Linked DNA regions of Oryzias latipes. The protein of the gene in region 2 interacts with the protein of the main gene of each other region in a biochemical or structural test. Links are inferred from orthologs where the notes say so. Each region holds a gene or a part of one and is shown on either strand. Other genes may lie near its edges.

Region 1 (4,883 bases), on a different chromosome or scaffold from region 2:
AAATACAGGTCAACAAATTTAAATAATAGATAGAAAGTTAAAGTGCAGCAGGTAGGTATGCAAATGTTGCTGAGAGTAAACTCATGTCTGATTTGAAGCAGCAACAGGAACTAAAATGTGCATTGGAAGAAATGCTCTTCGTCTTTTTTTTACGTTGCTTGCTTGGAAAAGAAAACGAAAGCCACACCTTGCTTTAAATGTTAAATGAAAGTGCTTTCGTTGCAACTGAAACAATGAATGCAATGTTTTCTGAGGTCTTTTTGAAGACGGCCAGGCCGTCACGCACGCAGACACGGGCTCTGCAGCGTCACTGCTCGCGCTAGATTCTGGATTTGACAGGCAGCACTGCTGATCAGACAGGACAAAACCCAAGATGGCTTCTTATTGAGCAGAAAGGACGTTAAAGGTCCAAATACAGACTTTAGATTTACACGGGTAGTTCCGACCCTTCTAGTCGTGAAATGGACATAAACATGTAAGAAGTCCTCCACTTTAAAGACCCGCTCCAATGTTTTTATCATGTTCCTGTAGCATTTTTCTCATGATAGTGGACATATGTAAAGAAAATTAAGCTTGAAATTGCATTTCTGAGGATTTTTTCTTCAGCATGTTGTGAATGAGGAGCAGATGAAAAAATGCCCTTTAATAGAGACCATATTTGTGATGTAGAAAACAAACTGGGTGGTCCACAAGTTTCCTGCTCCGCTCCATTCTGATGCATCCACTGGGAGACAAACAGATACAGGGACGTCTTTGTTTTCCTCGTCTGAGCAGGAATCTGGATAGCTTCAATAGTGCTCCCCATTTTTGTAGCACCAGTAGTGTTAGGTTGGGGGTGTGAGGGGCTGTAAGCTAGCAGGAGAGCATATCAAATGGATGACAGGAAATAAGGGGTGGGCTTACTGCGTTCCAACAGCCCCGCCCACAACTTAGAGGCCAATTTCTAATGAACTACTGCAACAACAGTTATTTTATTAGTTTAGGGAAAACGCGGCATAGATAAAAAAAAAACACTGGGAACGCTTTAAAAGAGATCAAAAAATGATTAGAGTTGGACTTTAAAGATGTTTCCATATGTAAAAAAACATATAAAAGGATTCTTCTAATCTCACCACACTTCCAAATTCTTGTAAATATGCTTAAAGTCCCACTTCGATCATCAGCAACCCTTGTGCTATCCTAGGCACTTTAACATTGGGAATTGGGTCATCCAGACCCACTAGAAGCTTTTTTCTTCAATGGTTTGTGAACCTCACTGGTGTCCATGAAATCTTTCCACCTTTATCCACCTTTGTCATGGTAGGAATAACACGTTAATGTAAAGGTGGGGTCATCTAAGATAGCACAAGGGGTAAAGATGATGCATGCATCAGAATGGAGCGGGGCAGGGAGCTTGTGGCCCACCATTGTAGGTCCTATGTCACAAGCTTTTGTTTCTGCTCGTGATCCAATATGAATGAAGAAATGCTCAGATTTTACGCTAAACTTTCTTTAGCAAATGCGACAAGAACATGTTTCATGGAGGCGGGTCTTTCAGTGAGCTGAATTTGGTTTGAGTGACTGAAGGCACAGGTCCTGTTCCAGTCAGCATCAGTGTTGATCAGCAAATCTCCATCAGGTTGATGTTCCAAAAGTGAAAGGAAGAAAGAGGATTACACATTTGGGTTTCTTCAAAGGATGGAGAGACGTGAGCAGCAGAACTAGATGACCTCTGCTCTGTTTATTTTGTGTGGCCGGGCTGCAGAAAGCAACACAACTATCTGTCCTACTTCTTTTGACTACCAGCGACCCAAAGAAGACTGAGTCCACAACCACGTCTCAATAATTCAAGAGCAAAGGAAACCTAATCCCCTCTCATCGTGGCCATGTTGACAAATAACAGGACGGTGTCTTTAATAAAACCACGAACCCGATGACCAGGCGAGATTTCAGAAGGAACGGTGGACGGAGCCGACCGCGTCCGCTTCAGGGGGAGCTCGGAGAAACGAGGAGTCCGGGAGCCGGAATGTAAACAGTTATTTCTGGCATTCTCCCGCTAAGCCGGTTCCTTAAATAAAAGGTTACATCACGCATGCACCGCAAAAGCGCACCGGCCGGGCTGTAGTGTGCCGACAGCTGTGTAAGAGGACTAAAACATTGCAAGTATTTCTTTACGATTATCACAAGAAAGGCGAACAATATAAACGGACGTCTAAAAAAAAACAAAAACAGAACTGATCGCCTCTTTTGCAGGAATTTAGATGGAGGAAACCCACCCATCGTTTGGACTCGTGGGTAGATTATATAGTGGCCGTGGCTACTCTTTCAAATATCAGACAATACACATGCTTACATAAACGCATTTGAGGCGTTCAAACGGGGTTGTTGAATCGTAGCCACACAGCCTCCTCCTGACTAAACTTTATTTCTGAGGGGGGAAAACGTACCCCTCCCCGGTTAGCCTGCCAAACAAGACAAGTGCAAGAAGAAGAATTGTAATTGAAGATGGAAACAGAGGAGATGAGCATTTGTCAGAGACTAGACGAAACCGTTACGTTTGGCTAGCAAGTGGCTACCGAAGCCAGGCTAATCAGCGGCTAACGTTTGCTAAAGCTAGTAGTGTGCTAGAGTATCGTTTTACCGCTCACCTCTGACGGCCTCGGAGATGTTTCCATCGTCCCGCCGGGGAGTTTTCCAGCGAACATCGACTTGTGTGTGGGATGGAAGTTTCCAGGAAAAGTACTGCTCAACTTTTTACCAGCATCACAGGTGTAAAAAAAAAAAATTCAGTGTAGAATCCCAGACCGGACCACAAGCGACAAAGTAATTTCTCCACCACTTACAACAACAACGTCAAACTAGCGATTAACCCCGCCCCCAACTGATAATCACCCAATCCCGCTGACGCGTCCGTTTGATTGACGTCAATAATATCCAATGAGTGTTCAGCCTTAAGGACGGAGTGAAACGTTAGTCTGCCGATTGGCTGCGTGACAAATAAAGGGACAGGGCTTTTGTCCGAGCAGCCTATGAACGCAGCACTGAAGGCAGAGTGACAGGTGCTTCGGGGTTCACGGGGGCGTCGCCATTCACAGGATGAGATCATCCCGGATGTAAACTATGCAATTGAAAAAAAGAAACCACACTGGAAATGTATTTCCACTTTAAAACTTTAATACAGTTCAAGCCAATAAAAAAATGGAATAAAATCCAGGTCACAAAGAGCAAACTAGGAAAAAAAAATTGACATGGTGCAACAAAAGTTGGCCAAAAGATGCACAAAAACCCAGTTTTTATCCAATTTTAAACAAATCATCCTGGTGTTTGCTTCCACGTGGATGTAAAGCACAGATACTAAGAAACATACTACAATAACTTTGAACTTTCCATTTGAAGATGTGACAAAAAACAAAACAAAACAAAAACTTTCCAACTATCACGCGCCAAAGATGGTGTTTAACGCCGCCTCCTGTCGGGACTTCTGCTGCGTCTCCGCCCACCGGTCCTGAAATAAACAGGGAATAACAGAAATGTTTACAACCTTTGAGGTACAATAACATTTAGACGTATATAATCAAACACCAAAACTTAAAGATATCAGAAAAAATAACCTGGAACATAATAAAACCCACTAGACTTCAACAAAAAAGTCAAACAGAACTGTACAAGAAAAACTGTACTGTGTGTGTTACTACAACCACAGCCAAATACATAAAAATGCACATGAATACCTTCTCTTGTTCTTGGGGGGCCCCCTGACAAATGCCCAGTCTACACTGACAGGCTGGCCCATCAGATCCTGAGCGTTGAGCCCCTCCATGGCCGCCTGGGCCTCTTTGTACGTCTCATACTCCACCAGTGCGTAGCCCTGAGAACAGGTGGATGCAAATCACATCTGTTTTTATTGTTGTGATTTTACACAGCTAACATGAAAACATTTGAATCTACCAGAGTTTAAAACAAATGTTTTGCAAAAAAAAAATACTACAATTGATTAGCTTGTTATGTTTAACTTTACTTTAAAGATGCAAATTTTATTAGGACAAAAAGTTCATTCTGTTTATAAAACACGAAAATGAACAATTCCTTCCTAAGGGTTGATTTATTTTAACAGCAAAGACGTGCTGCCCCCTTGTGGCTAAGAAACATGCAGCACAATAGACGCCACTGACGATGCAACTTTCCCCAAGCGTTTTACAGTCAGACACTATTTATCCCAAATTTACTGAACGTGCTATGTCAGTTTCTAAATCAAAAACATACACAGTCATTCTTATCAAAGTATCTTGACTAAGAATCAAATGAACACAAACATACATTTATTTTATTTAAGATCTTTTATCAATGACTGTTCAAAACCAGAGATGCATTGAACAGAGCTTGTATGTTATTTACTGATCAATAGTTGTCCCGTATCTTTCATATTGTGCAGATATTTGGGGAAATGCAGGAGAAACTATCATTGAATCATTATTTAGTTTATGGCTGCGCAATGTGAGGAAAACTCGTGATTTGCGATACAAGTGATTAATATTGCGATGACGATTTAACTTGCGATACACGAACAACCAAAACCATGATTTCCATTTCACTGCAACAGTTTATTTTACATTTAACATAACTGAAATCCTATTTACTCCAAATGACCCTTGTCTACATAGCAGGTGAGCATCTAACATAAAAGGGCCCCATCCCATTGGTCAATCTTAACGCATAAAAGGATTTATTTGATTTGTTACTTCAAGCTGCCATAATATTGTTTTAGCACATTTAAGGTTACCATTTATCAGACATTTAGCCAACCTTTAGCAAAGGGGCATTGCAAAATTTGTTATTGCGTCAGCGATCTGGTTAGCGCTCGTGCCTCACAACAAGAAGGTTCCTGGTTCAGGTCCCGGCTGGGG
Region 2 (4,739 bases):
TCCGGCAGGGACCGTCAATGAAGTACACGAAAACGACCCCGAAAATCAATTTCTCACAACTCACCCTCAATAATCTCAAAAACATCACAAGAACACATTATTGTTTAAACAACCTTCACTAAAATCCCTAATGTCAGTCGTAGACGCGTCCTTAGCTCCTCGCTTTAGGACTACAACTGTTATACCAGTAGTTCAGAAAAATATTAAGAGCAAATTCTGAAACAAAACTCATAGCAAAAATCATAAGAATTATGGTGAAGTCGACCACACCCACAACGGGAGCCTCCAGCAGGTCAACCACGGGCTTTGCGCCTATTATTGTCGTTGAGATTGACTCAAACAAAAGAAACAAACAGTTCCTACTGGTTAATATTTGAAACTTACCCAACATTTTGCTTTGTAACATTTGTGAATAAGTAGGAAGAAGAAAACAGACTGGTGATATTGTGACAAACACAAACAGATCATGTCTATGAGACTTTTTCTACTTCTAATTGCAGCTCATCCTATAGTTTTCATGAGCAGATGAGGTTAGAGCCCGGGCTGCTTAGACTTCTTTGCTTATGTAGAACAAAAAGCACGAAAAGACTTGGAACGAAGATCTCCTGTTTTTTTTTTTTTTAAATCTAACAAGCTTCCATAGTAACGCCATCATAACCCATTTTAAAAAGTTCTCTCTCAAAGTCGGAATCTCCTGAATGAGTAGTATTGGATTTTGCGTCACCCCCACATTGTATAAGCTTTCTCTATAAACAGTTATGTAAATGACAGCAATATTGTTTTTGCAATTTTGACTGTGAATCTGTTTGCTGTACTGGAGTTTGTCAGTCAATGATTGTAAGGTACAAACACTAGATGGGATCAGCCCCAAAATCATAATCAGGTTGAGATTTGTGTCTGCAAATACTTGTTTGGGATGAGATCAGGTTAGCCAGAATTACCTGAGATGTGACTGGATTTCCACCTCTCGTCTCAACTGATGCTCCACCCCAGCCCTCTCCAGTTGCTTCTTGAAAAGAACCTTCAGAGCCAAGATGAACTTGGTCTGTCGCTCTCGGGCGAGGTAGACGTTGCCGAACTTTCCCTTTCCTAAAGGACGACCAATGTCAAAGTCTTCTAGGCTCCATCGCTTCCTGTATGAGCACAACAGTCTGGTTACAGCCTTCCAGAGAACATTTTCAGGCTTATACATGCATGATAAAAAATAGTCTGTACTTGACATACTTGGATGTAGAGCCCTGCTCAGTTCTTGAGAGCTTGCCTGATAAAATATAATATATATGTATAAATAACTTATTTTTAAACGTGAGAAATGTGTTTAATTCAGTGGCATAACCTACTCTGTTGCTTGTCTGCTTTTATGGGTTCCGACGGTGGCTTGGCCAAATCTGGATTTGCACCGAGAACCTGAGTCTTTGGTTGGTTTTGCTGGGACGTAGGTTTAGACGGTGGAGCATGATGTGCATTCAGAGTAGCTGGATTCACATTCTGATCGCCAGAATGTGAGGACTTGTTGGTAAAAGCGACTTGAGATACCGGTTTCTGATGACTAACAGGTCGCTGGATACGCTGAGGTCCATTTGACACACTGAGAACTCGCTGATGCGAGGTGGGTGTGACTATTGCCTTGGGAACCATTTGATGCTGTTGAGACACAGGAATTCGTCGTGGTCCATCACTGCCGGACTGCAATTAAGAGACCAGCAAATAGAAATTTTAACATTTAATTCAAGGAAATGCAGCTTTACATATTGCTACATCAGTATTACTTTCTAACCTATATTACCATTAGGGGTTGTAGATTCATAGTTCATTCTTGTTTGATTTGAATGATTCGATCTGTTTCACTGACCTACAATGGATCCCAGACATCTTTAACCAAAATTCAACCAGTGTGACTCAGAGATACACATAAAAATAATATATATGGAACAGTATTAGAAGGTTCTATCACACCGTATAATCATGTTTTTGCTAAATCCAAAGTGTTTCCACACATTTTGTAATGATGGCTTGATCACGTGCGTTGTCCGCTGTGATGTCACTTGGTCATTTATATTTCTCAATCCAAATGGTATTTTCCAACATTGAATATAAATCAATCCCTAATTACTATACTATATATGAAAATGCAGTGAAGGGCATAAAAAAGTTAGACATTTAAACTTAAAAAAAGAAAATCAGTCTGACTTCACCTGCTTTATTTCAGGCTTTTGCAGTTTCACACTCTTTGTCACCTTGAGTGAGGGAGAAGGATCCATTTCCTGAAGGAAAAAGTTTATATTATTATAAGTATATAATTCAAATAGCGTATCAGATGAAAACACGAGGAAATTATAGGCTTAGGTCCGCAATGCTAACTGTAGTACTTACACAGACAATGATCAAATATAATCTTAGTGAACAAACTATGCACGTAAAGGTAAAACATTTATAAAAGTAAATACTTTAAGTCAAGTTAAAAGAGCTGATGTTCTCTTCTCCAGAGGCTAGCTAACGTTAATGAACAAGTGCTTCTGTTAGCTTAGCAACTATCATACAAACTATTTTTAATGCAACGTCTGACATAACTTACCCAAATGTACTACTGCACAATGATATACAGCAACCACGGCACGTTAAAATATCCAGAATTAATCAGTCCAATACATTCAAGAAGAAAAAAACCATGCCCACGTAGATGCTACGAAAGCTAGCTAACGAAAGATAATTCCTTTTGTCTAAATATAAACGCAAAGTCCAGTGAAACGTTACGAACAGACAACTTGTTTGGACTGAAAGCAAATAAATATATGCGGCAAAACTAGTTCAAAACACCTAAAAGGTTTAAACTACAGAGATGTCTGTGACCACACGATTCTTTTCCTGAAACGCTGATTAGAAATTTCAAACGTCCCTGTTTTAACCTTTAAAAAAAATCAGCTGGTCTGATTGGCTGACAGAATGCCCAATTTCGGTTTCCTATTGGCTAATACAATGTATCGAATGGGCGGCAGGAACGTCATGGGTAATTGGAGTTCCAAAGCACTAGATGGCAGAGCGCAGGTTCAGTTCGGTCAGTTTAAACAATTTACGAAAACAAACAAATAAACGCAAAAAAGATAAAATTAAAACTATCTCAAAACGGTAATAGCTATTTAGAAAGAAAAAAACACGAGGGGAGAAGTTTAACAGACCAAAGTAAATGGTTGGTCAAGCTCATTCTGCGCCAAAAAAAAGGGAGGGGGGGGGGGGGTTATAATTCAACACCCGTCCAAGGTTTTCTTTGGTTACTCACATAAAATTGATTAGGATAATGATGACGCATGGGCTAACTAAATACTTTTTTATTTTGTTTTTTAAGACACTTGCGGCCCCTTGTGTTTATAATGAGTAACTACATCTCCCCCATTCTTGAGGCCTTCAGATGAACGAATATAATTTGATTTTTAATTCAAAAGTACCCAACTAGCTCACAAAAATTAGTTTAGTCTCTATTAGTTTAGTCTCTCTTTTCCATAATAGAAAACGTCTTTCAATAAGTGGTTAAAATTTTTAGTCCCAAGTGTTTGTTTTCTCAGTTATATTTTATTATGAAAATATTTAAAGCAAAACCCACAGAACTCTCATGGAAAATAAAATATTGAGGGGAAGCTTTTAAGTTAAAATATTTTACTTTTATTCTTATATTCATTTTTTTTCTCCTGTTCACAGGTAACATTTCTTTAGTTGTACATTCTTTTTTGATGTAAAGACTAGCAAGAAATAAACAGTTTTTCTAAATAAATACATTCTTTAAAGTTTTAGAAATATTGTATCAAAGAAGGCGTCTACAATACCATAGAACAGTTCATACAGTTACAGCGGCTTCATTGTGCAGCACCTGCAGCGACCTTTAAACTGAAAGACCGCCGACTGGATGTTAAACGTTCAATTTCTGCATTTAACTTAAAGTTGACAGACGACACATTTACATTGACAGAAAGGCAGAATCTGACAAGGTCTTACTATAAAAATATAAATATGGCGAGAACATTGATCCCTTCTTTTAACTTAAATAATACAATAAGTCTTTATACAACAGTACATTCATTCAGGCTTTGCCTAAAAAACAAAAATAAAGAGACAGTGTTGGTATTGCTGAGGTCCCGCAGAGAAACATTACAGAAATAGTTCTAATAAAGAAATCAAACTGGCCCTGAAAGTTCGGATCGCTTAGATAGATGGAGTAGAGTTCTCCACCTGTTTCCTTTGAACTGCTTACATTTATACATCTACCTTCCTAAGTTAGTGTGAGTGCAGTCGGCTGTGTTGAGGAACAGTTTTTTTTTTTTTTTTAACAGAACATGAGATCTGAAAGTACAACCGTCTCAACTTTGGCACTTTTCTTCCATATCTGGTGCCTTTAAAGTCAAACTCTGAGCACACAAAGACAGGTAGTGTTTCCATCTTTCCTGAGCGCGTCACATCCACTTGATCCTAAAATCACTGTCATCTCACTGAATAGATAGAATATAGATGGCAAAGTGTGCCGCTCGAGTAATACAGAAAACCAAGAGCACCAGAGCAGCCCAACGAAGGACTGGTTGTATAGATAAGCAGTGCAACTTAGACGGAACTAACAAAAACAAAACAGGAAGTGTGTGTCATTTCTCTGTGACTGCTGCAGCCATCGGGGCCCGTAAGGTCCCACGCGCTGTGGCTGCCAGCTCCTCGATCTCTGCATTGAGTTGCCTGATCACCCACTCCATGGCTTCACG

The links. The genes of interacting proteins can lie anywhere in the genome.
Region 1: of the proteins of aurka (region 2) and otud7b, one has a biochemical effect on the other in vitro, tested with the Homo sapiens proteins (2 studies listed by BioGRID, with this or other methods). The link is inferred for Oryzias latipes from reciprocal best matches to the Homo sapiens genes AURKA and OTUD7B.

The regions. Positions count from the first base shown.
Region 1 is NC_019874.2:29,131,343-29,136,225, reverse strand, and holds the start of otud7b (OTU domain-containing protein 7B), read right to left. Parts: upstream 3,105-4,883; 5' UTR 2,628-3,104; intron 1-2,627. Other genes in the region: rbm8a (RNA-binding protein 8A), read right to left, coding at 3,436-3,484, 3,711-3,847. UniProt on the Homo sapiens protein: Negative regulator of the non-canonical NF-kappa-B pathway that acts by mediating deubiquitination of TRAF3, an inhibitor of the NF-kappa-B pathway, thereby acting as a negative regulator of B-cell responses.
Region 2 is NC_019863.2:11,351,664-11,356,402, forward strand, and holds the start of aurka (aurora kinase A), read right to left. Parts: upstream 2,925-4,739; 5' UTR 2,576-2,924; intron 2,265-2,575; 5' UTR 2,262-2,264; coding exon 2,196-2,261; intron 1,687-2,195; coding exon 1,341-1,686; intron 1,262-1,340; coding exon 1,225-1,261; intron 1,134-1,224; coding exon 942-1,133; intron 1-941. Other genes in the region: PRELI domain containing protein 3B, read right to left, coding at 4,626-4,739. UniProt on the Homo sapiens protein: Mitotic serine/threonine kinase that contributes to the regulation of cell cycle progression.